Drosophila melanogaster: one gene and its partners. The protein of the gene in region 1 interacts with the protein of each later gene in a pairwise test. Each region holds a gene or a part of one and is shown in the gene's direction. Other genes may lie near its edges. The genes, in order: CG31637, unc-119 and CG15580.

Evidence for each region.
Region 2: the proteins of CG31637 (region 1) and unc-119 interact in a two-hybrid assay, tested with the Drosophila melanogaster proteins (one large-scale study listed by BioGRID).
Region 3: the proteins of CG31637 (region 1) and CG15580 interact in a two-hybrid assay, tested with the Drosophila melanogaster proteins (one large-scale study listed by BioGRID).

Annotation. Positions count from the first base shown.
Region 1 is NT_033779.5:6,492,986-6,503,709, forward strand, and holds the start of CG31637 (uncharacterized protein), read left to right. Parts: upstream 1-5,661; 5' UTR 5,662-5,890; coding exon 5,891-6,834; intron 6,835-10,724. Other genes in the region: CG31638 (uncharacterized protein), read left to right, coding at 1,953-2,119, 2,259-2,883, 3,072-3,080; CG9547 (uncharacterized protein), read right to left, coding at 76-869, 988-1,453; CG9550 (uncharacterized protein), read left to right, coding at 4,149-4,738, 4,801-4,977, 5,032-5,356.
Region 2 is NC_004354.4:7,285,812-7,296,903, reverse strand, and holds unc-119 (unc-119), read left to right. Parts: upstream 1-5,605; 5' UTR 5,606-6,111; exon of another isoform or gene 6,112-6,115; intron 6,116-6,226; 5' UTR 6,227-6,338; intron 6,339-6,508; 5' UTR 6,509-6,653; coding exon 6,654-7,159; intron 7,160-7,225; coding exon 7,226-7,398; intron 7,399-7,639; coding exon 7,640-7,758; 3' UTR 7,759-8,537; downstream 8,538-11,092. Other genes in the region: CG2059 (uncharacterized protein), read right to left, coding at 8,855-8,993, 9,058-9,195, 9,264-9,493, 9,559-9,732, 9,806-10,051. UniProt on the Drosophila melanogaster protein: Myristoyl-binding protein that acts as a cargo adapter: specifically binds the myristoyl moiety of a subset of N-terminally myristoylated proteins and is required for their localization.
Region 3 is NT_033777.3:6,050,600-6,061,258, reverse strand, and holds CG15580 (uncharacterized protein), read left to right. Parts: upstream 1-3,722; 5' UTR 3,723-3,768; coding exon 3,769-4,079; intron 4,080-4,204; coding exon 4,205-5,050; intron 5,051-5,271; coding exon 5,272-5,851; intron 5,852-5,959; coding exon 5,960-6,454; 3' UTR 6,455-6,547; downstream 6,548-10,659.

The DNA of each region.
Region 1 (10,724 bases):
CATTTATTCACATTGACACTTCGACATAAAACAAATTGGTAAATGCAGTACTTTATGATTTTCGAAACAAGTACATTAGTTAGCAAATGCCGCCAGTCCGGTGATGGCTCGGCCCAGGATCAACGCGTGTATATCGTGCGTGCCCTCATAGGTGTTAACTGACTCCAGGTTGATTACATGGCGGATCACATGATATTCGTCGCTGATTCCGTTTGCACCCAGCATGTCCCTCATTTGGCGCGCTATATCAAGCGATTTGCCAGTATTGTTTCGCTTTAGAAGGGAAATCATGTCGGGCGTGTGCAGCTTCTGATCCTTGAGGCGACCCACATGCAGGCAAGCCTGCAGACCCAACGCAATCTCTGTGATGGCATCGGCCAGCTTCTTTTGGATCAACTGATTTGCAGCCAAAGGACGACCGAATTGTTTGCGATCCAGTGTATACTGGCGAGCAATCTCCACGCAGGTTTCAGCTGCTCCCAGGGCTCCCCACGCGATTCCATAGCGAGCGTTGTTCAGACAGCTGAAGGGTCCACTAAAGCCGGCCACATTGGGTAGCAACTGCTCCTCTGGCACACGGACCTCGTCCATCAGGATCATACCCGTGGGCGAAGCACGCAGAGAGAACTTGCCCTCGATCTTTGGCGTCTCCAAACCCTTGCCGGATATCTTGCGATCCACCAGGAAGCCGCGTACCTTGCCATCCTCGCATTTTGCCCATACGACTATGACGTCTGCGATGGGCGCACTAGTAATCCACGTCTTAGATCCGTTCAGGATGTATGTCTTGCTTTTGCTATCGTACTTGGCACGGGTCTCCATGCCAGCGGGGTCACTACCGTGGTTGGGTTCAGTTAGGCCAAAGGCACCTGAATAAATATGTAAAGAAATTGAGATTCGTTTAAAGAGAACACATATAAACTACGGGACTTTATATAATTCACTCAATATTTCATTAAAATATGATTTTATTCATTTGGCACTCACCAATCAGCTTGCCCTCCGCCATGCTGGGCAAATAGCGTTGCTTCTGCTCCTCGGATCCAAAGTCGTAGATGGCGCCCATGGCCAGCGAGCTCTGGACACTGACAGCAGACCGATAAGCGGAGTCCACGCGCTCCACCTCGCGGGTGAGCAAGCCGTAGGCAACGCTAGAGACTCCGGCGCAGCCGTATCCCTTAATGGTGCAGCCGAGGACACCCAGACTGCCGATCTCCTCCATAATTTTCTTGTCGAACGTCTCCAGGCGATTGGCCATCTTGACGCGCGGCTGCAGCTCGGCCTGACAGTATCCACGGAACGCATCCCGAATGGCCACCTCTTCCTCGGTCAATTGGCTCTCCAAATTCAGCGGATCCTGCCAGTTGAATTTGGGAGCTGCGGCTTTGGAGCTCGTGCTGGCCAAGCGGCGGGCACACGGTCGCAGTTTGCTGATTACACTTTGCGCAATCATAATTCCGATTCGGTTCTGTCTTTTCTGTTGGAAGTGATCAGCCGGTTCTCCACGGAACAGCTGCTCGATTCGACGTTCGGCGAGAGACTGAAGAAAGCTTAAATCTACAGCGAGAGCTTTTGGCTGCCCGCTCTTCGCGCGCTCTCTTCGCTCTTCTTCGCCAACTTTGTTTACCTCGCTTTAATATTGTTGTTATGCCCGATCTTAATCTGCGGGTTCTAAATTTTTCGCACTATCGCGCTTATATTTCACTTGACGATAGAAACCAAGAGTGAAGCGAGTGTGGAAGGAAATATTTTTCCATTTTAAGCGTTATCACCACTTGGCGGGGGTCGTCTGCTTATCAGTTGTGTTTGAAGACTGGAAGGCACGCCCCCTTGCTCTTTGTGCTTCGAGTTTTGGGTACAGATGCATCTTATGCGTTCAGAACAAATATGTAATATACCAATCTGAATCCACATATGTAGCTACATCACTACTTTTCTCTATTTTCCTGCAGGTGAAGCGTCTGCGTCAGCGTGTGGAGGAGCTGAAGCGGGAGTTAGCTGGTGCTGAGGACGAACTGGATTCGGCCGTTAACCAAGTGCGCCGCTTGCAGCGTTCCAACGATGAGCTGGTGGGTCAGACGGAAGGATTACAGGTGCAGATTCAGCACCTCCAGAATAGGTAAGATCAGTTCGAAAGAAACATTTAGATTTGCATACCGCTAAGTCTGTGGACTAACTCTAATAACCACTAACTTTTCAACTGGTGCTGGCTTGACTAATAACCTAACTCCTAACCCACGCTTAACCCAACGAAAAAGACGTGCTCCCAGTCCCCAGCTGCGGGGCATGGGCGGGGTGCAATTGAGGAATAAGATTGCCGTGGAGCTGCCCAACGACTGTCTGCCGAATATCAATGATCTTCGCCAGATCTTTGATGACTCGCAGGCAGGTTTGAGGAGCTCCCACAATGGCAGCGATGCCGCTATGCATCATGCTGCTTCCGTAAAGAGATCTAGTCACACGGAACGAACGCTCCTGCAGCAGCAGCAGAGTAGTGCTGCGGCATCTGCAGCGGCGGCGGCAGCGGCAGCAGCTGCTTTTTTTGATGCCAAGCCCACGCATCTGGAGGAGAATATATTTGAGTCGAAGTCACGGAATCTGGAGTTCGAGCGGGCCAAGCAGAAATTCGATAATCCTCACGGACAGCACCATCATCATCACCAGAGGCAGCGATCCGGAAACGGACGTTATGGCAGCGCAGGCAGCAGTGCCAGTCGAGCGAATCTAGCGCTGCCCCTGAAGGGAACCACAAATGGAGGCAGCAGCTCCGTTTCCAGTAAGGATGAGCTAAACCGACAGCTGTACGAGAAGGAGCAGTCTGCAGGCGCTGGATATGCGAGAAACAGCATTAATCTAGATGGTCTCAAGGTGTCCGACGATGAGGTGAGATTAGAGGAGCAGAAACGATTGTTATCACTTGAGTAAACTAATGCTTTGTTAGTTATTGTGTTCATCACATTATTGGTTTGATTTGTTTTAGCATCACTAATCCTTTTACTGCATGTATTGGTTTTACTAATCAATGTATAATTCTAGGTAAATATAATAACTATTTGTGATTTAAATTTCAGACTCCGTAGCTATGGTTCGACAAGCTTGCTGCTGGACGACGAGACGGAGGGTAACAGCGACTAGGATAACCAGACAAAAGACATTTGAGAGACATTAATGGTATTAACCTTAAGTATTAATTCGCAAGTACTTTAAAGTTGGTTGGACAACAGTCCCAAATATAATGCGCATTCCTAGTTTATATTTGGGCCTTTTACCAACCGGTGCCCCAGTTTTTTTTATAAGCATAACTATTGCAGAACGATTGTTCATGAACAAATACTTACTTATAAACTAAGATATTCTTAATTTCGCGACTAATTCCAATCATCAGATCACCAGTTAGCCACTTTCATAACTTCAATATTCCAAGTAATTTAAGGATAACGTTTGAAACTCATCTAGCTGGCCATATTCTTATGAGCTTAACCCGCAGCTAAGACGGTTGTTAGGAGGATTTCTCCTTCACATCCTTGCATCCTCATCGGAAACCCTTGCCTTTACTAAAAATGAACAGACTTAATAACAGATATACCGACATATATACGTATTGAAGCATAATACAGGTTCGATGTTTGCGGAATAGCATTTAGTGCCAGAAATCTAAAGAAATTGTATGAGATTTAGGAAAGCATTGATAGAAATGCTGCTATTTATTAATCGACATTATTGGAAATTATACAAGTAATTCTCACTACATATTTCGATATTTTTGCAGTTGCCTAGTCCGAAATTCTTTTAGTTTTTCAAAAGTCTATCGATATTCAGCGGCATAGTTGATCTTTTACAAAAAAATATATATACACATTAAACAAATCGGAACTCAAAATATTTACGTATTATAACATAGCAATATTAGTATTTTAGTTATTGATAAATAACAATTTATTAACTATTAAAATTATATATAAAATACAAATGATATGCCAATAAAGGTAGCATGTTACAAGATAAACCCTTCTTGCAAATCCTGTCCTGCTTTTTGATCGTCTTCGTGGAAGCACAGTACCTTCTGTCAGATCTTCAAACTTCAATCGTTCAGACATTATACAAAATTGGAAGAGTGGGAAAATTGGAATAAACTTAAAATTTCAGTCATGGTTTCACTTTCGCGTACTTCAAAATTAACCGTCGCTTGCGTGGGCGTCTATACGACCTACGTACTCTTCATATTCTTCCTTTTGCCCATGCTGATGCCGGATCCGGTGACACTGCAACGTTCACTGGTCTCCTACAGCACCAGCCACTTGGGCGACATCAGAAACCTCACTCTGGATGCCGGCGGCCAGCCAATCCGCTCAATGCTGGTCACATTCCGGGGATCGGGTGCCCTCACCCTGCTGGACAACCTGGCCCATCAGCCGGGCTGCTATCAGCACTACGCTCCACTGATCGCCTACGAGAGCCGTTCCATTGCCGCGAAGGAGCACCATCGCGCCTTGGATGAACTGGCGGCGCTGTACAACTGCGACTACAACAAGTCTGCGGAAATGATCCAATGGGGAATGCGATCGCCGGTCTTTCGGCGCTTCTATGGCGCACAGGCCAAGATCTGTCGCTCTTACAGCCAGGAGGCGTGCTGGGATCCCGAGACCATGGCCGCCGTCTGCAAGCTGTACCCATTCATCAACATGGCGGTGTACAACTTGCGGCTGAATCTTTTGGCTTCCCTTCTGGAACGCAAAGAGTGAGTGGAGTGGTGGCAGCTATTGAAAATTAATCGTTTTACTTAAAATTCCACATTTCTAGCCTAAATCTGAACATCATGCTGCTTGTTCGCGATCCTCGGGGCACCATATATTCCCGAATGAATAACAAGTGGTGTTCGGATGAGAGGGATTGCGAGGCACAGGAACTTTGCGGCGACATGGTCAGTGATTATCAAATGGTCGAGACCCTCACCCAAGCCTATCCACAGCGTTTTAGGTAAGGTTTTGTGTAACTCTTATATATCTCTTTATTTATATGCCTATTTCACAGCATTATACGTTATGAGGACTTGTTCCTACAGCCCGATGAGAGTATCAAACAAGTATTCGACTTTTACGGATTGCCCTTGGAACGAAACAGGACCAGGATTCAGAAAATGCATCCGCGCAGTGGCTACTTTTTTCAGTCCTCCCGCTGGAAGGAGCTTTCCAGCCAGTCCGCCTTCGAGTGGATAAGCGAAATGATGGTGGACGATATTGGGGCTGTACAGGACGTGTGCGGTCAGGCAATGGATTTGTGGGGGTATCGCTCCATTCAGGACTTCAATCACTTTTCCCCGGAATCTTTCCAGCCAATTATGGACAAAGCCTATTAATTTCTGGGCAAATGTTAGGGGTGTAGTGGGCCAGGGGTTTGATATGAAAGCTTTATTTAAGGTATATTTCGAGGGGTTAAATATGTAAATTTGATCTATGCTCATCAGAACTTTTAAATGCTTTTAAAAAAATGTTTTTGAATCTGAATTAAAACTCTCCGAATTGGTTCGAGTCTGTGCTACATGGCCAGCCAGGTTTCACACCAAATGTAGTGACTAGTACACTGTGACTTCATGGAATATTTAGGATATAGTTGTTATACGCGACTTCACTGCTCGCCGCGGCATCTTTCCACCTGCCCGCAACGGTCACTTTGTTGTTGTCAATCGTTTCGTTCGCATCGCGTCGCGGAAAATCGAGATATAAATACGGAAAACAAAGATATAACTCCGACGCGGCGACTTCCGCAGCAAGCAACTGCAATGCGCTCGAGTTGAGGGCGCGCCGATAATTATGTGCGTGTGGGAGCGAGTGCGAGTATAGCACACAAGTGATCACCACCAGCAATTAGCAAGTGACCAACCGACCGACCAATGAGCACGGGCATTGGCAGCAGCAGCAGCAGCACGGAGGAGCAGCAGCACCTGGAACTGAGCGCGGACTTGGAGGCGTGCTCCCTGCTTGGCCCGCAGGACCCGTCGAACGTCGATACCGGCAGGACACGCGCTAAGCAGCGACTCAGCTTGAACGGAAAGCGGCGCCGCAGCCGGATGTCGCGCAGGGCCAATCTGATCGGCATCTGCGGCGTGAGCAGCCTGTGCATCCTGCTGCTGATCGCCACCACCCAGCACCGTCCGCTGACCACGCCGTTTAATCAGTCGGCTGGGCGGGATCAGGGCGCGTCCGTAGATGGCGGTCCATCCAATTCGCTGGCGCGCAGCGCCTTCTACGATCGCTTCCAGCAGCAATTGCAGCAGCAGCAGCAGTCGTCGCAGACGGCCGTCTACAATCTGACAGCTACTATAGTGGATGTCCTGTCGGCTCAACGGTCGCGCATCCTGGCCGAAATGGAGAACTTCGAGTATCCGCGCGGCGGCGCCGAGCGTCTGACGGACATGACGCCGGAGACGAACGGCACCCCGGTGCGCAGTGTGGTGGTCACCTCATGGCGCTCCGGCTCCACCTTCCTGGGTGACATTCTCAACTCGATACCGGGCAACTTCTATCACTATGAGCCGCTGCTCGACTTCGGCATCAAGCAGATCCGCGATCCTGACGATCAGGAGCTGGCCGTGCAGAACCTGAAGAACCTGCTCAACTGCGACTACGCCGACATGATCGACTATCTGAACTTCGGCAAGACGCACACCTATCTGTTCGAGCACAACACCCGACTGTGGGACGTCTGCCGGGAGTTCCCGCGCTTCTGCTGGCGTCCAGCCTTCCTCACGCGCTTCTGCCGCCTCTTCCCCATCCAGAGCATGAAGACCGTCCGCCTGCGACTCGCCCAGGCCGAAAAGCTGCTCGAGGACCAAAGGTGAGTGGGCCCAGACATCCGGGTAGAAAGTGAAAGCCAACTGGCATGCGATATGCAACGCATCTCAGGCGGATTGTTTATTCGGGGACCCTGGAGTGTGATGTCTTAGGAGAAAGCTCTTTACTGCATTGACTCGTGCCGAATTATTTGAAGTCTTTAAACATGCCACATGATTACCTACTTACCCGGAAGCGTGAATACTAATTAACTATCTAATAATCGAGGGAATCAACTTTTGTCTTAGTCTTTAGTCCTTCTTTTGCGTGTCACATCAGTTTCAATAAACGTAGTGACTTCATTATGAAATTATAGATTTATCAGTTTGCAACATACAGCAGCAAGTCTTTATCGTTATTGCTTTGTTAAATTCCCCATCCAGACTAAGTCAGTATTTCATTCAATAGCATCAGCAGTTTCTTTGCATCCCATTTTTATCTTTCGAGGCAGGCCAAGGCCCTCATTGGTGATAAGTTTCGAAAGGCAAATGCTTATAGTATTTTCTTAGTTTTGCCAGTTAAATTTCCTCGGCCAGTCAACTTATGCGTCTTATCTAATTGCTTATGTATTGTATATGAAAATGTTGTTTATTTTAAATTGAAAGTCTTCGTCTTTAGTCTTAGTTTATAAAGAAATATACAAACAGCAATCAATCTTGTATAAAAAAAGGTTCAATTGGCATTTTGGCCATTAGTTTCATTAATGCTTACTTTTCAACAATAGACTTTAAATTGTCTGTACTTTTTTATTATAAATTTTCAACTGCTATCACGTTATCGTTCTGGTTTGTTACCCTAATTACTTATTGGGCTTTCCGAAATTTTCAAACACGATAGTGATATGATACTGGGATAGGCTATGAAGGTTTGTTCAGAGTTATTTAGCGATTAAAAACTAGTTCTAAATTTCGGTATACTTTTTTCTTGAACTTACGAATTTGAAAGAACAATTAAAATAATTTTACAGAAGCCCAATACTATTTGTCAGCTATGAACACTCATTTATAAAGTGGGGATTACCATTTAAATTGTATTTCTTGGGAACCTTAACTGATAACGCTGTGATTAGAATCTGAGATACCGAATTTGTAATCGTTTCGCCTCCACTTTTTCGAGATTGTATTGTTATTGTATCACCTGAAATTCTCAGGGTGTTTACTTTCGACTGAGTGAAAACAGAGAGCAAATCCTTGGGCAATACAATCGATTTGAAATCTCGTTGGGGCATTCCCCCAAATGCCGCAAACAAAAGTTTCATTTACATAATTTCCCATTTAAAATGTAAGCCGGCCAACAACAGCAGCAGAAATCGATAAAATTAGTGTACAGCAATCTCTAGCTAAACAAACCAGCGACAACAAGTAAACAGAAAACGAAAATGTATTTGATTGATGTGGGGTTTCGGTTCCTTGCCCGCCAGAACCCAGTCCCCCAAACCCAATCCTGCTCCACTGGCTTTTGTGGTTTCGATTACATGCTCCGATCATTCCTTTTTGTAAGGACATTCTGGATATGTATTAGATTCGGCTTTTGTGTGGGCTGAGTTGTGTCAATGTTATGCAAAGGATATAAAAAACAATTTCAATCAATGAGAACGTATCTGACATTTGTGCACAGATTTCTGTTCAATAAATACACGAATTGGTAGAGATAAAATGTCTGAGTGGAAAATGTCATTTATAGTGCCACATAAATGTCAAAAGAAATGTTTGATGTCTTTTAATGGTTATTTACTGGCATCTCCGCCTCCTCTGAAAAGCGAAAAACAATTAACACACTAAATCATGAGCTGACTTCGTATACTTTAGCCGGAAGTTGGGTCACTAAATTTACAAACTCTTAAGGTTTAATTTCTCTTTTGCCCTGCTAACTTTGTTTTCCTAGTTCGACTCCTCCTCCTAATCTATTTTCAACCATTTCGATGCTGACTATATGCTTTTATCTTAACTTGTTTACCTTAATTAAAAGAGCAAGCTTATTATCTTATTTTTTTGTGCTTATATTAGTAACCAAGACTTGCAGATAGTAGTTAAAACTGCAGCTTTGTTTGTTTTCCGATAACTTTAAGCTCTATTTCAAATGGAAAAGTGCTTCATAAAATTAGCTTTGTATAAGCACTTTGCACTTAAGTTGCGCCTCTCACTCAATTCTTTGTACTCTCCTTCGCGGACTGCAGTAAAAATTCTTTCACACTCTATTAACTTGGCCCCGCTGGCCGCTGGCCGCTGGGAAATGCATCAAAATTCCGGAAATGCTGACCAGCACTTGGATTTATGTTTGCCTGCGGGCCAACATCATCCCAGCCAGCCACACACTTAGCCACAATTTGGGTCAGTGCGAGCATTGTGGGGCGAAAAGCCGTGTTTGGTGAGTCACTAAGCGACCGCTAACTTGGCTTCTAATTGTCGATTGGCCAAGTCTTGTGCCGGCTGGGTGTGCCCAGAATTTTGTTTTTTGGGGGGGAAACTGGGCGAAGCTTTCCCACAATTATCGCGTATACGCCGTGTTGGACGGTCTCTTAAATTTAATGCCCAATGAGCATTTCATTTATAAATCACACATTATTTTTATGTGATTTTTCATGGTCTCCTTCCCGCCACTCAGTTGCGATAAGAAAGAAAATGTGGCTAATGAAATGAACTACCAAATGGGGCAGTTGTATATTTATAAGTCAATGAGTCACGAGAATTGCAAAATTTATCATTACTACTACTTCCATTGAGCACTGAACGGTTTGAAGCAATCACGGAATGTAAATTGTATTATTTTATTATTAAATCATTTCACAATAAGTGTAACTAAAACATAATTTTAATGAAAATTGTTCAGCTTAAGGTCGGGTTTTATTAAATTTCTTCACACTGTTGGAAAAGCCTTTTCATTTAGTTTTCCCCGGCGCGCTACGGTTTTGTGGCCGCTAACTTTGAGAGGCTTTTGCCAGCAAGTAGATTAAAATTGTGAGCATTGAATGCGCCCACCACAGGCCGCACAGTCGGAAGATGGCGAAAATAGTTGCATTCAACATCTGGCAAAAGAACCAAAGAGAGCCGAACGAGCCGAAAGAACCGCAGAAGCCACAAAGAGTTTGGGCCCAGTCAGTTTTAGTTGGCTTATAATGAGCAAAGTGGCCATTAACTCAAAAACTTTTCCGCGCTGCGTTTTAAAGCGGGCCAAAACAGCCAGCAAACAATATGAGAACGAGACGGAAGAAGAAGCCGCTAGACGTCAAGACCCCGCGGTTTTTGGCTGCTGTAAGACCCGGTTCTCGGAAGCCCATTGCGCCATAGACCTCATTCTGGGCCGTTTATCTCGTTTTGAACCTTTTGACTTGACAGTTTTGTCAAAAAGAGAGAGAGAGAGAGAGAGACGGCTATGGACGGTGCGAAAGAGAGCGATCGTGAGTTCAGTGAACGTTCAAGTAGAATAGTTTTCATGCGCAATGCGGGTGTATGGATTTCTTTATAGAAGTAGATATATTCACTAGGCACAAACAAAAGATGTGCACTATTCACACTTAGCATAAAGATAGTAGTTTTCTTTTTTTTGACTAGCTAATTGAAATTGGAGCATGTAGAGCTAGTGTAGCTCATGCTCAAACGAGTATATTAATCTGAACTTTCTTTTCGAAAACAGCTGACATGTTATCAAATCGCATTTGACCGAAATATAACTAGTCTGTCAGTCAGTGTGGAAAGAGCATTGAGTGTGCTAGTCTATATTTTTTTCCATTTTTTGTGTGTGCCCCAAACTTTGTATCTTATTGCATTTGCAAAAAAAGCGAAACGGGTTTCGTTGCTGGCTAAGCCAAACCTTTTTCTTATTTATTTATTTTTATTTTTTGCCCGCTACTATTGCTGTTTTGGTACGTGTAGAGATCGGCTTGGCGTAAATGGG
Region 2 (11,092 bases), on another chromosome or scaffold:
GCCGCACCATAAACCACCAGGATGCGCAGGTATTTTCCGACCAATATCATCGTAGTACCTGTTCGATCCTTCATCGGGTCTTTTGGATTCAGGAATCAATTTGGCTTTTGGTTTGATTCAATAAAATGTTATCAATGGTTGATTTTTAGATTGATTTTCAGTTTTAATACCAATTTTCTTTCCATTTTAAGGTTTTAGATAGTAAATATATCTTATTTAATCGTGGAAGATAGAAAATTCGACATCAACTACAACCAGAATAGGTAAAACCTTATTACAAGTTTGTTTGTTTAAACGTTAACATAATAATGTAATATTTTATACATTTTTATTGACGTGTGGCAATTGTAGTGGCACTTTCGGATGTCATCCCAAAAAAAAAAAAAAAAAATAAAAAACCTTAGTCGTTTATCATAGCCGTCTAATGTTGATGGGTCTACCGGAGATGTTCCGATGATGAATGGATCCATATCCGGTAGCTGGCAAGATTATTGAATACGTGGTCATGTTTATGCATATAGCTTCGATGTCGATATTTGGTGATTCAGCTGGGGACATCGCAGGTGGCCATAATTTAAGGCGGCGGTATCTCTCGTTTAAAAGTTAAATGAGCTACCAGAGACCTCATTAGATACGCACCCCCCGTTTGTTCGTTTGTCCGCCTGTCTGGCTATCTATCAGTCTATCTATCTACCTATCTATCAATCCATCTCTCTATCTATATGCATGCTTCTATATCTGCGATATACGCGCGTGGCATGAACAATCGGCTGTGGATATCGGCTGCACAGTAGCCAGCCGACATCGCCACCTGTCCATAAATCGCTCAGACCGAGGAGCCCATGTCACTATGGTGTACAATACTATGCTATACGCAGTGTGTCAGGGGGGAAACGCACCCGAAATACTAATTATGGGTATGAAATCTATGGGGCGTCGTCATAAATCAAATTCGAATTCCGTTCGCAGGCGTTACATTGGCACCAAATAGTAAGTGTTTTCGATCTAAAACCGACGTACCATTTCGGTTATACGAAAGAGAAAGGCAGAGATTGTAGATAAGAATCGGATGGGATCGGATCTCTGTCGCATACCAAACACTGGACACCGGGAATGATTTGTGCCCAAGTGTCCCATGTCAACGGGCCATCGCATTAGTGAAGGCAAAAAAAAAAAAGAAAACCCCTTCGCCGAAGATCGTTTTTGAGATTTAGAAAAAACCACCCATATCTTTCATTTTGATTTGTGACCCTTTGTCGTGGTAGGGGGATTTAAGATTGGTCCTTTCTCAAAGTCGATAGGATGTACTTGTCTTTTTGGTTTGCAGGATTGCATTTATGATACATAGTTTAAATCCTATGACTACATGCTGAACATATTATAAGTTTCAGTTCAAGATTGTAGCATTGTAGCATGGTTAGCTTTTTAGGTCTGGTATTCCATATATCCCCCTGCTGTTTTCGGTCCCCACCTCTTAAAGCACACTTCTCCAGTGCCTACTGTACGTGGGACATCCAACTGAGCTCCGGAATGGGGTTTGTTTATAGGGCTGGGGTCAACTATCTATGTAAATCCAATTTGGGTCCGATAACGCATGTGCGCTGAACATATGGGGCATAAAGCATGCTGCAAATGCAGCAGGCGGTGGAGAGGTGGTTTTTTTTTTTTTTTGTCGAGAGGAGGTGAACAAATAAAATTTTATTCCTTGGGAGGGCATACAAATAAACTTTCTGGCCCTGCTTGCGGACAGACATTATGTGCGCATTATTTCGAATATATGTATACATATATAGATTAATTATTTCCGAATATTTATGTGTGTACGTCTTTGTTTGGTTCGCATTTGGTTTTTTAGATTGGGAACAGATGCTTTGGTATTTTGTTTTTTTTTTTTTTTACCAAAAAGTATATGCTTATTTGGATGTATTTACTTGTCATTTTGCTGTACAGAAAGTACTGAACGTTATAAGAATTTCTAGCAGGAGAATAACGAATATTCAGGCAATTAAAGGCACTCCGGGACTTGAGCACCGGGTTTCCTTTTCCTTCTGAAGGTCAGAGTTTCAAAAGGGAGCAAGAGCAACCCTTTCAAAGGTAAAGTTCAAGCTCTACAAAATGTGCCCACTGTACGTGTGACTGTGAGTGTTTGCGTATGGGTTTCGGTATGGGTCTCGGTATGGGTTTGAGTTTGAGTTAGAGTTTGAGTTTCGGTTTTGGGATACCTACAATCCGACAGTTCCAACCGTCCCACAATAATGCACTCACCAACACACCAACGCCAACCCATCGAGAATCCATATCAGCATGGAGGAACAATAACAAAACGCCGCAATAACAAAACATTCGTGCCCGGGACAAATGGACAAACGGGCAACCGAAACGGACGGAAAGTTCAGACATGCACACTGGCACACCTACGTTCTTAGAACTACAGGCATGGACAAGAAAATAGGTCTAAGATATTTTATTCAATTGAGATAATACAATAATAATAAGGGTTAAGAACAAGACAACCAGGCGGTACAATCCAAAAAATATTTGATAGTTTATTAGATATTAAAATATTAATTCAATTGCGATGAAACAGGAAAATTTTAAGACAACCATCAAAATTCTTATAGCTTATTGTTGTTATTGAAAACTTCTACTCTTTGGGTGCTATTTAAGTGGCCATTGGTGTGCACTTGCACACAGACGCATTCACCATGTATAAAGGCAGGCCAAACAAACGCGCACAGAGGCGTCGCAGTTGACCGAGGCAGCGACGCGGGCAGAGGCGTCGGCAGAGTCAGGCCAGACAGTCTGTCGCCAGAAAAATCCACACTCACACATGCAGCACTGCACTCACACACACACACACACACACACACACATAGACGGGGCTTGCACTGCGAGAAAAGGGGGGTGTGTTACAAAGGGTATGCCAAAGTTGGCCAGCGGGGTGGGGGGAGTGGTCAGCGAAGGCGTCGACGTCGTTGTCGCTGCCCACTGTTGTTGTATCTCGCCTGAGAAATCGCTCGAAAAGCAAGGCTCAAAGCTAAATTCCATTTAGATTATGCTCTGCGGCTCTTGTGCTTCTTCTTCTTCTTCCTTTCGTTGCACTCAGAAAAAATGTTGATATTACGCAACGTGCAACTACACCTACATCTTTTCATAGAGTGCACGCAGTTTTAAGCATTTTGGTTTTTAGTTATATTCTTTATAGCTGAAGTGCTACTTTTTATTAGTGTAGTAGTATCATCGTGTTTTGTTCAGTGTATCAATTCGTGTTGTTGTTGGCGCTTTTGACGAACTGAACGCGTTGCTTGGGAGGTGTTACTCTATGGAGTGTGCACACACTCACACACACACACGCAATAAACCCCAGCAAAACACACTCTCCGAAACGGCCACTCGATGTGGAGTATGTGTGTGTGTGTGTGGTGTGTTTGTATCTGTGTGTGAGTGCGAGTGCAGTGTGCATTGCATTGCCAGACCGTCCGGCGCGCATAACGTCATCGCCACTTGGAATAGGGTCAGTGGCGTCTTCTGCGAAGGGGATTTCTTATAAAAAGGCACACAAAACAGGCTGCGCAGACGTAACATTTTCCCAAGAAAGTATGCAGTACTTTATAAAATGTGAGCAACGTAATACTATGACCATAAGATCCCATTTATTAGATGCAACAAGCTTTGGAAAATATTTCTAGCCCCCTTTTTTTGTGCCACGCCCCTGTTCGGCCATTCGAGTACGAATATTATCGCCCACGATTTTTGGTTTTTGTTGCTGCTCTACTGTTTGTTTTCGATACCCAGGCACACAGACGCACACACAAACACGCATTGAAGTACACAGGAGGGGGTACTTGAGTTCTATGGCTCGAAAAGTTCTATGGTCCGTCCGTGAAAGAAAGAAATATTCAAACAAATTTCATCAACTAACAATCGAACGTTAAGTTTCATTTGCTATGTAAATGTAAATCGATCGGTGATAAGTCGGATGTAGCTACTATTTGGAAAAGCTTATATACATTAGTATGTATATAAATTCTGAAGAAAACAGGTTAAGTATTTTTGGGTTACCATCCTCTGGGCGAATAAAATTATCCTTAAAAGTGTCCTTTGATATAATTGAATAATATAGAGTTAGTACTTTTAAATTGGCCACCTGCTGCAGTCATTAAAAATTGGTTCGAAAATATTTAATCTCATGGAACAGCAAATTTAACTCAAATGAAACCGAATCCTGCCTATGGCATTTGCGCTGATACAAAAGATGGATTATCCCGCGAATTCCTTGGATCTTTTGTCGACCCTTTCGGCCTGTCAGATGGCATATTCCTCAGGTGCCCGGCTGTCTGCAGATTTTATGTGAGTTTTTGGGGGATAAATCAAGTGAGGGGCGGCGGTGCAAGGGGGGGGGGGTCAGTTTGGAGATCTCCAGTCAAACTGTACTAAAGATAGAGCCGAACACGTTCCCAGTGCTGCCACACAGATACACACCAATACCAATGTAAGAAACAAAAAAAAAAAAAAAAACTACAAAAAAAAAATACAGGAAACGCGGACGCCAATGGAGAAAAAAAAACAGGGGCAGGGGCAGGGGCAGTGGACAGTGGACGGGGGATAAGTGCATATGTGGCCCCTGAAACTTAACACTTCTTTGGCTCCGGCTGCGAATATTAAAATACCCACTTAAGGCCAACAATAACAGCGGCAAGAAGCAGAGAAAATGTGAAAAGGAGGAGCTAGAATTGAACTCAAGTACTTTCGTCTCGCACTGAAAGAAAAAAATACATTTATGTATGAATATGAAAAAAAAAACTATCTTAATATCATAGTGCTATTTTATTTACATGAAATCTATAAACTAAAATAGCGACTCACTAAGCGTGAAAAATCGAAATAGATCTAAATAATATTATAGCCAGCATTTCTCGCAGTGCACAAACATGATCTGGCATTGGCGCCCGTGCGTCTGAATATGGAAATCGAAATGGGTCCGAGTATGGGTGCGTTGTATATGGAATGGGATGGGATGTGGATAGGAGGACACTTGAGTTTTAGGCCGGGCTTATCTGCATTCTAGGCGAAGGGAGGGGAAGCGAAAGGAAAGGAAACCACTCGACGGCGCACTTGAGAAGCGGGAGAAGCAAGCGGCAGTCTGCTGCATGGATATTAACTAATTGTCGGCCACAAAAATGCATGGGAAGGCGATCGCAACACGCCATTTAACACATTTGCACGCTTCCAAAGTGTTTCCTTTTCGAATTTGCTTTGTATATAGTGGTTTACTCTGGCGAGTGACGGGGGTATATGCATTTTATTTTTTAGTTTGGGTTTTCAATTTAAGCTTAAGATGTGAAAATCTATACTTATACTTGTCTATACTCATTATTTCCGATTAAGCTTTCTGCAAACGTTCGCTTACTTTCGGTTATACAATAAATAATGTTAAAAATCTGAATAGCCTTTTTTCTAGATGTAAAATGTAGAATATTTTGAATATTGCGCCAACAGTGTGACCCCTGCTAGAACGCAGAAATGTTTTTTTGCGAGTATGTGGCAACGTTGGTCGTAAGTTTTTCCCCATGCGCGAACGGTCTCACCGATTTCCTGTAATGCATCATCGATAATCTATCGATTGCTGAGTAGTGCAAAAAAAGTGGGCAAAAAAGGTGCAATGTTTAGCGTTTAAGTGCGTTAAGTTGCTTTTGCGGACGACAACAACAACACCAGCAGCATTGCCGGTCAAATTGATCTAATTGATTTTCGGGCAGTGCCAACAGCAACTAAAACCAAATTAATAAATGAATCCCTGCGCATACATAAACATATAAAAACACACACACACACACATACATTCGCATAAAGGACGCGAACCGAAAAGGGAAAAACAAACACAAAGGAAAAAAAAAGGAAAAAGGAGAGCGCAGCTTTTTCAGAAATTGGGTCATTTGTTGTTGTTGTTGTTGTTGTTGCTGCTGTTGCTGGTGATTTTCAAACGAATTTCATTTGTTGCTGTCGTCGTCGGTTCGGTGTTGTTGTTGTTGTTGCTGTTGTTGCAATGGTCGTGGACGTTGTTGTCGCTGACAGCTAAATGTTATGGCAACACTTGCAACCTGAATTCGTGTGGGTAAGTAGTGTTTGCATTTATGTTGAATTTATTTTAACTTATATACCTTATACTTAACTTATTTTTGTGCTTTTCGCCAAATAACTATTCATATTTGGCAAAAATTAATAGTGAGGAGCGGAAAGCGAAAGGATAATAGGGTAGCGGAGACGAAGCCTTATATTTCCACCAGAAAATCCTGGCACAATTTATGACAACTCTACACTTGTGTGTGTTTGTGTTGGTGAGTAACTTAACAACTATGACTTCTTTTTTTTTTTTTTGCTATGTTAAAAAAAAAATGTGATATTTCATTATTCAGTTTAGTTTGAAGTAATAGAAATTCAAAAGTATTTGTGCTATATTTTATTATTTACTCCCTAATAACCAATGCCTATTCCTTTCTATTCGCAGAGTGAGACAGCGGAGTAGCTTCTTCAAATCAAAGGATACCACTGCAGCAGCCATCCAGCCAGGAGCCTTAAAAAAGCTGTTCAGCTTGAGAAATCCGAAACGCAGACTATAGACAAATAATACCACCAGATTCATTCCGTGCACAATGAGCGTGGTGGGTAAGCAACTAAATCCGGTGCAATCCTCCGGTGCAGGCGCAGTGACAACGTCTTCCTCCGCGGCCGCAGGATCCTCTTCTTCGAACAGTGGAGTGGAGGCCAACGGCGGCAGTGGAGGATCGTCGGGAGCTGCAGCAGCGGGCGCTGGTGCCTCCGGTGATGCCAAACGGCCTGCGGAGTCTTCCAGCGTGACTCCCGACGAGGTGCTCCATCTGACCAAGATCACGGACGACTATCTCTGCTCCGCCAATGCAAATGTGTTCGAGATTGATTTCACGCGGTTCAAGATTCGCGACCTGGAGAGCGGCGCTGTGCTCTTCGAGATCGCCAAACCGCCGAGTGAACAATATCCGGAAGGACTGTCCTCGGATGAAACCATGCTGGCGGCTGCCGAGAAATTGTCACTGGATGACACTGCCGATCCAAATGCCGGACGCTATGTGCGCTATCAGTTCACACCGGCATTTCTCAACCTCAAAACAGTGGGAGCCACGTAGGTTATACAGTATTTGCATTTGTTTTAAATGCCTCTCAATTTGTAAGTTTCCCTTATTTGCAGTGTGGAATTCACTGTGGGCAGCCAGCCGCTTAATAATTTTCGTATGATCGAACGCCACTTCTTCCGCGATCGCCTGCTAAAGACGTTTGACTTTGAGTTCGGCTTTTGCTTTCCATTTTCGAAGAATACGGTTGAGCACATCTACGAGTTTCCTAACCTTCCACCCGACCTAGGTGAGCAATTTTTACATAATCCCAGCCAGCATGACACGCAATTGAAAGTTGCTGCCAAAAGTTGAAGGGGTTTGTGGGTCAAGGTCGTTTACGATTTGCGCCTGTGAGATGAGGCTTCTATTGGTCAGATTGCGAGCAGCTATCATGGTTTTTATTTTTTGTTATCGGTTTGTAGGATGTGGACTTATTAATGAAATGCAATTCACATAAATATGTTCGTTCGTTTTCCATTTTTTTTTAGTTGCTGAGATGATATCGAGCCCCTTTGAGACGCGCTCGGACAGCTTTTACTTTGTGGGAAACCGACTCGTCATGCACAACAAAGCCGACTACGCCTACGATGGCGGCAATATAGTCTAGAAACTCAACTATAATGGAACTGCAACTAGAGCAAAACTAATAACTAAAGAACTAGAAACTACAGAAGCTGTGAGACAAAATCAATGACTTGTCACACACACACACACACGAAACACCCACTCAATGTCAACAATCACACTCACAAACACATCGAATCGAATCGAGGAATATTATCACAGCCATTTTAGCCTTAGCACACCAAAGTTTTACCCACCATTCCTGTTTGATGTATTTAGCATCAAGATATGATCTCCTGCAAACGGAAACTAACACACAAACACAACAACAACACACTGAAGCACGCGGATTGTGTTCATTTATCAATGATTTCCACTTTGACTATATAATTTTAAGTGCTATGTGATTTCCCTTGATTTATATATGTATTTGTACACACTTATTTAATCCTAATAAGTAAGGACACTCCACACACACACCCAACAAGAAACAACAAATACATATATATAAAATACGTACGTATACACACACGCACACACAGAACTTATGAGAAGCGAATTGGAAATTTTCAAAAAAAAAAAATTGAGGAAAATCCATTTGCCGTCAATTTTTGTATGCAGCATACGAAATCATACGAAATCTATCAGCTTCTTCATGGCATTTTTTTCGTGTCTGTGTATGTATATTTTTTAAACAAAAACCAAATGGAAAAAGACGAACGTAACTGGAAATCCAAAAAAAAAAAAACACTAACGATTACACGCCGAACAAGAATGATAAATTAAATTACATTTTAAATGTACATACACCACTATAAATTGAAACTTTTCTAAGGGGGTTAAATCGAGGGCATTTCGTGCACTAAAGGTGCTTAAGAAATTTATTATATTCTGAAAAATCATCAAGTTCAGAACGCTTATATCAAAAAAAAAAATATATATATTGCTATCCCGCTCTTTTCGGTGAAGATTCTTGAAGATCTGCGTAGATCGTTGAAGAATGTCTTCTCGAGTTCTGAAGTGAAATTAATTTGAATTCCCGTTCCCAAGAAAAACAAAGCGTTCACTTTCCAATTTAGCTAAAGTCGATCTACGCGATTGACTTCTTTGTACATTTGGTTAAAATATCAAAATTTGGTCTACTCAGTTCTATTCAGGAACTCGCTGACTATTGTTAGAAACTCCTGCGGCTTTTCAAAGTGCACTAAATGTCCGGCATCCAGCCAGTGGATCTCAGAATTGGGAAACATTTTCTGTATCTGTGGCCATTGCTCGCGTCTAATAAAGATGGCAAAAAGATTCAATTAGTTTAGTTTACTTAGCACCTCGGGATCCAAGTTACCTCATGTAAGGTGATCGCGTGCCGCAAATGAACGTAGTGGGTCCCGTGTACGGCGGCAGTTCCTCCAAATTACTCTGATATTTGTCGAAGCGGGTGAGGAATTCACGAAGAACATGGGCATTGCAGGCCCAAGAGAAACTATAGGAAGATTATCTCATTTTAAAGCGGTTCCCAAAAAAGGCCAAATACATATGTGGCAAACTTACGCGCCGGTGTCAGGATTTTTTCGGAGATTCAGCATGATAAAGTCAACGGTCTCGTCTTCGGTGGCTTTCAGTAGTTTTTCCCGTGCAATTTTCCTGCCCTCAGACATGGACATGCTTGGCGAAAGGTCCAGGGAGACCATCGCGTCGAAAATTTCCGTCATCTCGCCCGTGGAACGGGGCACGCTAATTGGCGATATGTCCACCACTATCAAACGTTCCACCAACTCGGGCTATGATAATGGAAAAATGATTGTTTAACATTTAACTCAGTTTGTGCATAAGGCGCAACACTTACATATTTTCGAGCGAAGTACATCATGGACCTGCCGCCCATGCTGTGACCCATGCAGGCGGCATTCGGATGACTGCGCTGCTCCATAAACAAACGCAAATCCTCGCTCATCGCTTTGGAATTGTGGACACTCGAATGTGGACTCTCGCCATGATTCCTCACATCGATGGCGTACACCTGTAGGTTAAAATAAATACACATTGGCTTGAGCATTGATACTTTGGCTAAACGCATAAATTGGTAAGCTCACCTTTCGGGAAACTTTTCGCACCAGAGCCTTGCTAATTCCTCGCCAATTTTGCTTGGAACCAAAGAGTCCATGATATGTGAGCAGTGGTGGACTCGTCTCTGGATTCTCGCCGGTGTACGAATCGAAGCTTAGTTCAACGGGATCCGGTATTTCCGAGGAGTACTCCCTTCTGACCACCAATTGGGTTCGCAGGATCTTTCCCGCGGGAAATGGAAGTGAACGTAACGATTTCGTCAGGCGCTGCATTTGGTGGCCCCAGTGTGTACACACGCCACCGGCGGGAAAACTAATTGGGCAGTGGTATGTTGCCGCCGAGGGGGGTTCGTTGCTTTGCTAAAGTTGCGTAATTATTGTTAATTTGCAGCAATTTCGATAAATTTCAACATTTTGCCAATTGTGTACGGAGTCCAGCTGACCGGTGTTTTATTTTTCGACAACATGTAGTTTGGCAATTGTCAAGGGCGTAGATGAAAAAACTAATTATACAAATTTTAAGTCATGAATATAAATATACAATATTTTTTGTAGTCGTTGAAAATGGTTTGGTTATAAATAGATTAGAAACACGTTTTTCTTATAAATTTATCTTTGACAATTAACCGTTATCATACTCTGTAATTTTTTGCATACACCTAAGCCATTTTATCATAAATAAGCACATAAAATATGTGCAAGTATTTACCAAATATTAATGGGGCTCTTAACCCCTTACGACCCCTTCCAAACGATGGCTCTGTTGACAAAGTGGCAACACTGGCGCGCAAATATCTCGATGCTAGCCATGGCATGAACCATTTTGGATATTTACTTAGTCATGTCTGTGCGTCAGCCACATAAGCTAAGATAACATCACCGACTAGGCACGCACGCTTTTCGCCGTATTTCCGGGCACGCCATGCACAGTCACACTGGCAGCTGCCATATTCTTTAGGCAAACGTTTTCTGTCGGAAACAGTTTTTTCATTAACACAAAAAAAGGCATCCAGAGCATTTGCTGTAGCACAAAAACATCGAATTTCCAACGCTACCAGGTAAACCAGTCGCCGCCGAGCCGCCGGAAAAACGGGCTTTCCAGTTCGTCTTTAGCGGTAAAAAGATTGAAGGAGGAAAGCGCGGCGCTGACGTCGGCAGCGGTAGAGGCAGCGCAGCGGCGCTCTTGCTCGCATTCACACTACTCAAACATAGGTAAGCAGCAACAAGAAATCAAGCATATTGTCAAAATCAGAGCAACAAATTGATATATTTTCAAGTATTCTATTTTTCCCCTCCAAAAAAAAAAAAAAAAAA
Region 3 (10,659 bases), on another chromosome or scaffold:
GAGGACACACTATATTAGGCGATTTTAAGCCTGTAAATGATCAGTCATAATAAGCTTGATGTTAATTGATTTTTAAATTAGAGAGTTGAAGTTAAATGATAGTATTTCCTTACCTAAAATTTTGACCGCAACTGTACCCACAGAGCCTTCTGTGTTCTCGTCCTCGGTGTGCGTCAGCTGCTATTCTGCGACCCTCATCAGTGGGGACAACGAGCATGACATTTCAAATGCGTTGCGGCTAAGGAGATTATATTGCATCAGGTTTGATGATGAAAAAAAGATGCGCCACATGTGACTATTTTTGCATGTGTACTACACATGCACCTGTCTTTGGCTGCGCGGTGTGTGTGCAGCGCTTGAAATTAACTACAACATTGCACTTCCTCGAAGCCACAAAGCACGTTGAAGCGAAACATTCGATAGAGCTCAGCTTTCGATTGTCCACATGGGGACATTTCGAGTGCCCTCGTCAGAGATCGGATTCGGAGTGACAAGCGAGAATCGGTGGAACTTGGCCGACTTCACCGACTTCGCAAGGGAAGCGGCAAAAGCCTCGACCGACCGCAAACTAAGTCGTTAAAACAAAGAACCCTATCGGCTTACGGAAACTTTGTTGCAGCAGCAGTTCCAGTCCCGGGATGGCAAACATGTTCGCCTCGGCCACTGCCAATTGCAAGTTTTGCATGTAAAGCGGCAAAAGTTTATGCTAAACTTTTGCCATTTTCCATGGATTCTTTCCGTTTGTCCTTTTGTTTTTGGCTGAATTTTAATTCCCTCCGAAAGTATGTAAATGTTGCCGACAGCCAGTATCGAACGGCTCCGATGTCGTTAGATTTTATGTCGAGTTCCGAAGGGTCTACGTCTCCCCACAGTGCGGGGAACCCATAACAATCTGCATAGAAAGCATGTTAAACACGGCAAAATATGGCCCAAATGAAGGGTTTCGACCGACAAGGAGCTGCGTAAACAAGGCATCGCTTACATCTACGACTTGAGAGCTATTTATCGAGCACTCGACTCAATGCAGCAATAAACCAATATTACCACTTGGTAGAGAAACTGTCCTAGCCTCATCAAATATTTGCGGTACAGGTCTGAGGACAACGTATAACGTACGAATTCCTAGAACTCGAGCATTAAAAACAAATGCAACGTCGTGGTGCCCTTAAAATGATTACTTAATAAAGAGGAAGTGGGAAGTCTTGGTAAAAAATAGTAAACACTATCAAAAACTAGACCAATATGCATGGAAACTTTGTGAATTATGCAAATGCACTCGGTTGCCTCTGGCCTGTCCAGTTTCTCTCTGCTCCTCGGGATCGCGCATCCTGCAGATCCTGTGGGCTCAATGGCGCAACACGCGCTGCCCACTGGCTGAGAACATAATTTTCGCACTGCATCTGCCCGTTGCCTTTAAGTTGAATATAATAACAATGAATTGTTCAAAAATGCGTTTCCAGTGTAAGTTCAATTCTTTAAAATTTAAAAGAATCGCTGCCAGTTGTGTATTCCTTTTTCCGCATATCCCTTGTAAAAAATGGGGATATAGGTTTTCCTAAGTGCACACCCTCAATGCCGGACTAGTTCATCAAACTTTGCTCGAACACAAATGAAAGTTTCGAACCGCAGCCATGAAAGATGCAAGGCGTCTGGCCGTGGCCTACCTGCACACTCAGCTGCGATTGGAGCCCTACATTTCACCCAGTACCTCTGCCTCTGACGTGGGCTTTGTAAGGTCAACAAGCCAAAAATGCTTAAAAAATGCAACCGGCCAGGAAAGCGGCAAATGCAAAAGCAAAGTTAGGGTTAAACTCTTTTGTGGCATTAGCGAAACCAGAGAAGGGAAACTCCATCGTGTCGCGACTGAAACTTACATTGTATTTCTATTTGTGAGGCAGCGTCATTTCCGGTTTAGATCGTCCCCGGAGCCAGTGTTGCAAACATGTTAAGCAATCGCGCCAACTTTTTGGTCTTTTCGCCTCAGGGGAAAGGCAAAACTCTGCCGTGAGACGAACGGCAGCTCGTAAATTTCAAAAATTTGAAAACAACAGCGCCGGCAACATATACTTTTCGCGCGCTGGCCGAAATTATTTTAAATCACCTGCTGCCCGGCATTTATCATCAGAGCCAGTCGGACAAGTCGGACTCCCTAACGACCGCAGCCAGTCTTCAGCTCAACTCCCAGGACGACTACAACGGCAGCGAGATTTGCGAAGAGCACTTTATTTTGGCCAAGCCATTGCCACGCCTCCGTCCCCAAGCCCCCATCCACACTCCATCCACGCAGTGAAGTTTTCTCCACCTAACACCGACCCACTCATAATGTCCGCGCTTCTGATGTTATTTTGCCATTTTCGCTCTGGTTTGCGGCTGGGGGAAAACTGTTTTGTTATCACGGTGATAAATGGAAAATTATTTTGAATCGAGCAACTACTTAAAAGAATTCCCAAAGGTTGTAATAAATTTTGGGGCACACACATACACACATACATTCACGTCCGAGAAGGACATGCGAGGAAGGACAAGTTGGTAAGACCGAATCCGAGTTGAGCTGGCTTGGTAATGTCCTTCCAGATAAAAAGGTGATTGACGAAGCGAAAGCAAAAGTCATGGTCGAACTTCCACTTAGCAATGCAGTTGTCGTTCACAGAAAAGGACCAACGACGATGTCGGTGGTTGTGTTGTGTGTAGTGGTGGGCTGGATGGCGAATTTCGTCCTGGCATGCACTTAATTTGTACTGGGAGCTGGGGACCTGGGGCTCCTCCACTTGCTCTGAAGAAATACTCCAAGTTGAGCATATTCACAAAGCTTTGCAGAGCCAGGAATGCTATAGGTGCACACCGTGCCAAATTATTTCCTTACAACTTTAAAACTAAACATTTTATTATATGATACATCCTGGAATATAGCCCACATAGGTAGGAAGTAACAGCTCTTCCGGGAAAATATTATAGCTTATCAACAGTACCACTATAATTAAATAATAATAAATATGCATTAAAAATATAAATATTTTATATGTCCTGGTCACAAGAATTGATACAAAGTCGTTTGGTTTTCTTAAGTGCAGCGTCTTTGTTGGCAGGAGCAGCTACATGCACTATGGAAACCACTTCCAAACTGGGGGCCATCTCCGATCCAGGCACAAAGGCACCCGGACAGGACGAGCACACTCAGCGAGCAGCTCTAACAACATCTATTTTTATTTCATTAGGTAGAAAAATAGCCGGCAAGGTGAAGCTCCTGGCAGCTTCGCCATCAAAACAAAGCGCTGAATATTGGCCAAAACGGAATGGAACGGGGCGGGCGAAGCGGGGCTGGCCACAAAAAGAAACTGCTCTTCGCTTCTCAATTAGGTTAGCTTAATTTAAATTTGCTTCGAGTGCTTGGCAAGTGCTTGCGAGACATTAGCAGCAAATATTAGCAAACGCTTAAAGAGCGCCGTAAGTGGAAAATATCTTAGGCGAGTTTTCTTAAATTAGCCGTTGTAAACATTTGTTACGCACTCGGGTCGGGATTTAGAGTGTCTTAAATGAAAACCGGACAGTTTTTAATGAGGAAGTACGTTTGGCAGGTGCGAGATAACTAAAACATAAAACATGTTCATTGGAGTATGAAGATAGACAAACGGCACTTCCATAAATGTATTAAGGTGCACTGGAACACATGGGTTAAAACCATGTTATACTTATCGATCACTTTCAGAAACAAACTTCAAAAAAAAAGACTTTCAACGCACAAACAAACATACTCGAAAATAACTCCATATGGACTTTGAAGATGATGAGGAGGTTGTGCAACCGCACTATGCTCAGAAATTCCGGGCTCCCACCGATCCCCTCCTTCTGGCCACATATGAGCTTTTTAAGCCCTCTCATCAGACCTTGAACCTATACAGCGAACGGAATCGCGAGATTTTTGCGGAGGCCTTTATAGAGGGAAACTTGAACACTTTAGTCAATCTGAGCGTAAAGAGTCTGGCCAAGCTGGGCATTCGAGGCATATCTCCAACTTTGCAGGCGAGTCCCCAGCTTATGAGGATATTTTACGACGCACTGGATGTGGAGCTGCCTTTGAGGTATGTAACGAAACGGATACAAGTATTTTCATTACATAACCTATAATTTAACATTTGACGCCACTAACTTTATATCGTTATTTACTATGGTTACAAACCCTAATAACTTTATATATATTTCAAAGAGATTGCTATTTGATCGAGGATCAACGATTTTGGCGACGCGTCGTACTAAGCAAGACTTTGGACAAAACGTTGCACCTGAAGCGCTGGAACGAGTTCGACTGGAAGGCTGAGGGTGTGAGCCGGAAGTTTGTGGAGCAGGTTGAATCATGTCCTGTGAACGTGAAGCCGCAGAGAAGGCTGGCTCAGTTGGCTGAAATTGTTTGGCAGTATGTCAACTCCATGCACATCCGCAAGCTGCAAGCTCTGCCCGACTATGCCTTCATTAAGCACTTGGAGAGCGAGCCTGAAGAGGATATATCCTCGGAGTCATCCGACGAGGAGGAGATATCTAGCGATGAGCCGGATACGGAAATGGACGAGGGCGAGGAGGAGCACAAGTCTAGTAGTTCCAGCAGCGAGGCAGCTATTACTTTCTGGCGTGCGGAAACCGAGAACGAGGACACAATTCGCCGGAATGCGCGACATCTGCGCAACGCCAACCGCCAGCAGGCTCGGGATGCCATTGCTAGGAAACGGGAGGATCGCAAGGAGCGCAAGAGGAAGCGCCAGGAGAAACTGGACGCCTTGAAGAATGCGGATCAATCGGGCAAGAAAAAGAAGAAAAAGAAGAAGGAACCGCCCATTCGAGACGTGTTCAGCATAAACGTTGCTCCAGAAGAAGGTGATGACGAGGACACAAAACCGGACAAGCGCAACAAGCAGCTGCTGCTGGAGCGGATCAAGCGGTATGACTATCCGGAGGACCATTGTCATCACATTGATCTGGGATTTGTACGATATTTTGAAAATATGATGTCTCTGACGCTGGAGTTTTTGGGACCACCTGATGTAAAAGACTATCAAAGGTAAGCTCTTAAATTAGAATGTTATGGTAAGAAACAACATCGAAGAAGTGAAACGTGCTGTACACGATTTGTATAACATGTTTTCTCTGAGATAAATGGAACCAAATAAATACATGTGAAGTAGAGTTCTAAAAGCGCCAAGAGTCTACAGCTGCATCGCCTACCACCAGCATTTAAATTAAAATTGCTAGCTTAAACTTAACTTAACTTGTACCTTACAGCCGTTATATGAAGTTCTCAGACAGTGATATGGTTCGTCTTAGCAAAGGTCTGAAATACTTACCGAGCCTCAAGACCTTCAGGCTTCGAAACAGTCGCCTGAGTATGAAGAAGTTTCGTATCCTGACCCGTGCCCTTCAGAACTTAGACACCCTTGATGAGGTGGATTTTGGTTATGACCAAATGACGGATGAGTGCAGCGAAGGCCTGGCCTATTTGCTAAAGCGCCCTTTGATGTACCGCAGTATCCAGCTGGAACACAACAAATTGGGCGCCAATTGTGCAATTGTGCTGGGCGAGGCGTTGAGCCAATCGCAAGTGGGGGTTTTGGAGTATCTGGGCCTGGCTCACAATCCGCTTAATGAATTGGCCCTGCATTCGCTCATAACGTGTATTATCGGAACCCCCCATGTGTGGGCCCTCAACATTTCGGGGATCAACACCACCCTGGGTTCGTTTTCCCGTGATATAGGAACCCTCCTGCGCAGCCACACTCCTCTGATGAGCCTCGAAATGGCCGCCATCAACATTGGCATCTCGCAAGGGAATCAAATACTGAGATCCCTGGAAAAGAATACCCGAGTAAGTATAACATTGAATTAGGTTGGATCGCTGATAATGACCACTTTTGCGAAAGGGGTGCTGAAGATCATTTTTAACTGAGTATTGAACTTACATTCCTATCCTAAGATCCTATACGCCGACTTCCGGGAATGTGAGCTGAGCTTCGACCAGGAATTCGAAGTGGACATGATAGTGCGTCGGAATAACTACATTCATGAAAACCTCCACCACGGCGAGAATCTGTGTAAGGTGGTCAAGGAGCGCCGCCATCCGATTGTCCAGCGAATCGAGGAGGATTTCGCCCGGCGGAAGGGGTGCACGGAGGTGCGGCCGAAGTTCTCGAGCTCCAGCAAGGAATCCATTCCGGAGGTGGTCGTTGAGAAGAAGGAGGTCGAGGAGGAGGGCGACATCTGGGCAATGTTGGCTCGGTGGAACCAGCCGACAGCGCCTGAAGTGAGGGAATCGCACACTTCAAAGGATTCGCACCCCTCTCAAAATGGAAAGACAGAACCATTTGTTTTCGAACCCAACAAGTTCGATCTGGACCAGTTCCGGAAGTCTGTCTTTCTGCCAGGCCCTGGCAATCGCTTTTTCTACCTGCAAAGGAACAAAACTCCCTAATTTGTAGCCCTTTTCACCACCTACAATTGTACATTGCATAACATTGTACTCTGAGTATATTTTCAAAGCATTAAACGCACCACTTAGCAGTCCAACATAGTCCCTATCATTCTCGAGGGCTTGGAATGTCATTCGACCTAATGGTCACTTTAAACCTTCGCCATAAAGTGCCGCGCTGGCATAAACTGAGATCTAATTAAGTCGCTGGCAACGTGTTCGCCTTGGAGCCACGCCCACAATTCCGGGGGCCACACCTCGACCGAAGGTCATTGCAGAGCACAGCAAGTGCAACAAAGTTGAGCAGTTTGCATTTAAGCAGCGGAGATTTGGGCAACAGTGTCTCCAATTTAATGCCACTTCCCCTGGCTACTTCTGCCTTCCAAGCTCCACAGTCAATTCCATAAAATCGTGGGCGTACACTCGGAAAAAATAGTATAATTTCCATGTTGATAAAACAAACTAGAAAGCACTTAAAACACCAGTCCTAAAAACAGCATGTTAAATCCTTTTAACACTTTAGTTAAAAGAATTTTTCAATTCATATTACTTCATTTGAAGACTTAATTTCCAATGTTAACTAGCGGTGATTTTATTGGAAGGCTTCATTTCTTTTAAAGTTTTTCTAAACAAGATATATCTGCTTTTTCAGTGCAAAGAAAGAAGCTCGAACAGTGCTTAGAAGTTCGTCTTGTTAACAAAGCCAAACCTCAGCGAGTATAAACAAATTAATGCATATGCCGGTTCGCCTGAGGTAATGTGTGTCTATCTTGCAATTGGGAGACGTTTCCAGGGAAGTGGGGTAACATATATCGAGGGGGCTAAAGGAAAGGAAGGAAAGCGCGGAGGGGTTGGGTATGAGTTCACGGCCCCATTTTGACAGGATCCCATGAAAGATATATGTGCGCTGGTAACTCAACTTATCAACGCGCCGAGCCACAAACTTTTCTCATCTACTTAACGCAGATAAGCGGCTGCCTTTTCGCCATGTTTGGCTTCTAATTTGCCCAGCCGCAGATACACATTCATAGACCCAACTGATGGTGTTAACTTAATTTTCAGCCAGCACTCGACTGGAGTCCGTAAGGGCTAAAGTAAAGGAAAGAGATGGGCCAACAATCCGGCGGAATCGGAGTCGCCTGACTTTTTCAGACTTCTCTTGTGTGAAATAAAATTAACTAAATACGCTCACGAGTAACATTCATAATAAACATTAAGCAGCAAGGGCGAAAAAAGTCAAATAAATATAAAAAATAATATTTGCCAGACGACTCCTTTTTGCGATTACGAGGCGACGGCCGTGTGGCCAGCGTTTTTGGGTTTTGTCGGGTTGTGGGATCGGGTGAAATTATGGCATAAGTTACTTAGGAGTAAAGCTGGTTTCCTGCTCCTGCTCCTGCTTCTGCTCCCCGGAACTTCCCCACCATTCACAGCCAGCCACCCACTTTCCAGCCCCCCGGCGGAATCAACTTGGCTACACTTTACTTTTATGTGGCGCGCTCGGAATGTACTCGCTGGCGAAATAAAGATACAGATACAGAGATACGCAGAGAGTGCCCAGATACAAGCACATTTGTAGCGATAAGCGTCATAAAGTTATCGTAAGTAAGCGCCGAAAAAAGTCTACGAAATAGATACAAAAAAAAGACGGAAGCATGAGCTTACAGTGGGGCTTGGATTTCTGATCCTCTACCAAAATACAGTGAATGCTAGTGTTTGTTGAAAGAAAACGAAAGCCTTTAGTTTAGGAAGTGGTCATTCCTGAATACATCAAAATGTAAAATATATATATATATATAAAATGAATATAAATAAGTGTATAGAAATTTGCCAACATTTATTGTTATTTTTTTTTACCAATTACTTATTATCCTATCTGATCTTATCTTTCCATTATTCCACATTTCAAACATCATAATATATTTTGGGGCAACAAACATGCAATTGTAGCTTAAAGAAGTTTGCCAAACGCCTCACCAAGGGTATTAAAAGTCAAGAAGGAATCGCAACGCAGCCACAAGTTGAAGGCATCTTTGGACTTGGAGGGGCGGACACAAATAAAACTATGACAAGGACGTAACTTTTAGCACTCCCATCAGACATTCTCCATTGGATCGGGCTTGTGGGGTCCAGCAGCAAGTCAATTACGCACTGCCAGCCAAGTTTCGCGCTTTGTTTCTCCCGGATTTGTCAGTTTAATGAATGCTTTCCCAGCGAATCGACGTATCTGCTAAATGGCGGAGGGGAATCCGTGAGATTTATTCTCCCTGACTGACCGAAGCGTGATAAGTCCGAGCAGCTGGCTTCTTTTAAAGTACCCATCAAATTTTGCACTTGTTGAATATTTCAGTTATATTTAATTTTCATTTACAGCTTGATATGGGGTCAAATATTTATGCTATTAATAGCAAACCCCTCCCGTGAACTAAGAATCAAATCCAATTAGTGAAATAGAGTTAATCATTTAAACCTATTGTGGTTTGGGAAGGAATGGTTTTCGCCCATTAAGCCCATATTAAATAAGCTTTATATTTTATTTTACCTCAAAAGTGTGGTGCTTTTTAAACACCCAATTTCTTAACGAATTAAAATAGTTTTATTAAGCCGTTCTGGTTGATAAGCACGTTCGAGGCCACCACTTTAATGTGACGATGAATGAGTTAATTGCACAGCGGAATTTAAGAAATGCCTCACATATACTGGCAAACAGATTGCATCCGAAGGATGCCAGAGTGACTCAAAACTTATTGCATTGTCTTGGCACATCGTTAATTTGATGTGTACATTAAGTCGGTGTAATGGCGATAATCTGCCGGGGAATTAATTTAAATCGGTGCACCGAATGGGGGCTCGGCATGCAGGCACATCAAAAAATCAAAAGGGAGGCCTTTGAGAGCAAGAGAAATCTTTACAATTTAATTCACTGGACCCATCAGCAGACCGGCAGGGACCATAAGCCTTCAGTTCGCTGCCAGTCGTTAATAAAACAACATACAAACATACATACATATATGCCTTCGCCGATCATTCACATTGGAGCACTTGCACTTGCATATATGTATGGTCCCGAGTCAAACTGTGCTTAAATGACAAGCGGACATGCATAAGTGACAGTGAAATGTTGCACTTGCAGCTGCATCGCAAATGCATCGGTTCGGTTGGCCCTCCAACTGGGATTCTGTAATCGCTGGTCATCCATTCAGGTAAATAAATATGCGCTTTAATATATATTCGCACATCTCGCATATGTGTGTGTCCACGTTGCAAGTTGTTTTCACTGCCGCTCCGCTTGCCTCTTGAAATGATTAAGGAAATGCGCAAATATTTCGCGTAAATATGGCAATTCAAGTTCATTTTATTTGCAAGGCAACACCTTTAGCAGGAATGAACGGCAAATAGGCCAAGAGATTTTCACTTGAGGAAGAATTTCAGGTGGTCGGTTGAAAATTTCTAAATAAATTATAGATATAAAAATATATCTATGCTTAGCATAACATTTGCATATTTATTCAAAGTAATAATATTTAAAAATATCGTTTTATTCGTGTCTCGATTGGCTTATCTTAAAGTTAAATTATATGATTAGTTGCAATCGAGACCTTTAAAACTATCAGCTAACACTGAATTAAAAATTTTAAGCAGTGTACAAACACATAAGCCGAGTGTCACTTTATCCAAGCCAACTGTTGCTTCCATCACAAAATTTTCACGTTTCCACCTACACCTGTCCGTCCATTAAAGGTGAGAGGCACCCCACTCCATTTCCACACAGACGCACGACGTACGGCTGCAAGCGAAAAATGCAGACTGCGCAGACGGGAAATGCATTGCACTTCCGTCATCAAATAGCAATTTTGCAAACATTTGCAATTACTTTTCCGAGTCGATCCCAATATTGTATTGATTCCGTGCAAACATCCCACGGGAATGCAATTTGCCATCACCTCAACGGGGAAATGGGGGCCAAAAGAATGCTCATCATATTAACACCGAGCGGCACAAGATGTCCCAGCTTTCTGGCATCAGAAAGTTGTCGTGCCGAATGCCTAAAACTAAAAGCCTTAAACTATGCAAAACTTGGGACTCGCACCCGGAGCCTCGGATGGAAACTCTTTTTATGGCACAAAGGCGGAAAATCTCGGGGGGAACAGAGCAAACTAAAAGCCAAATCAACCCGACGGTCCGGCGTCCAAACAACAAATGGCGGT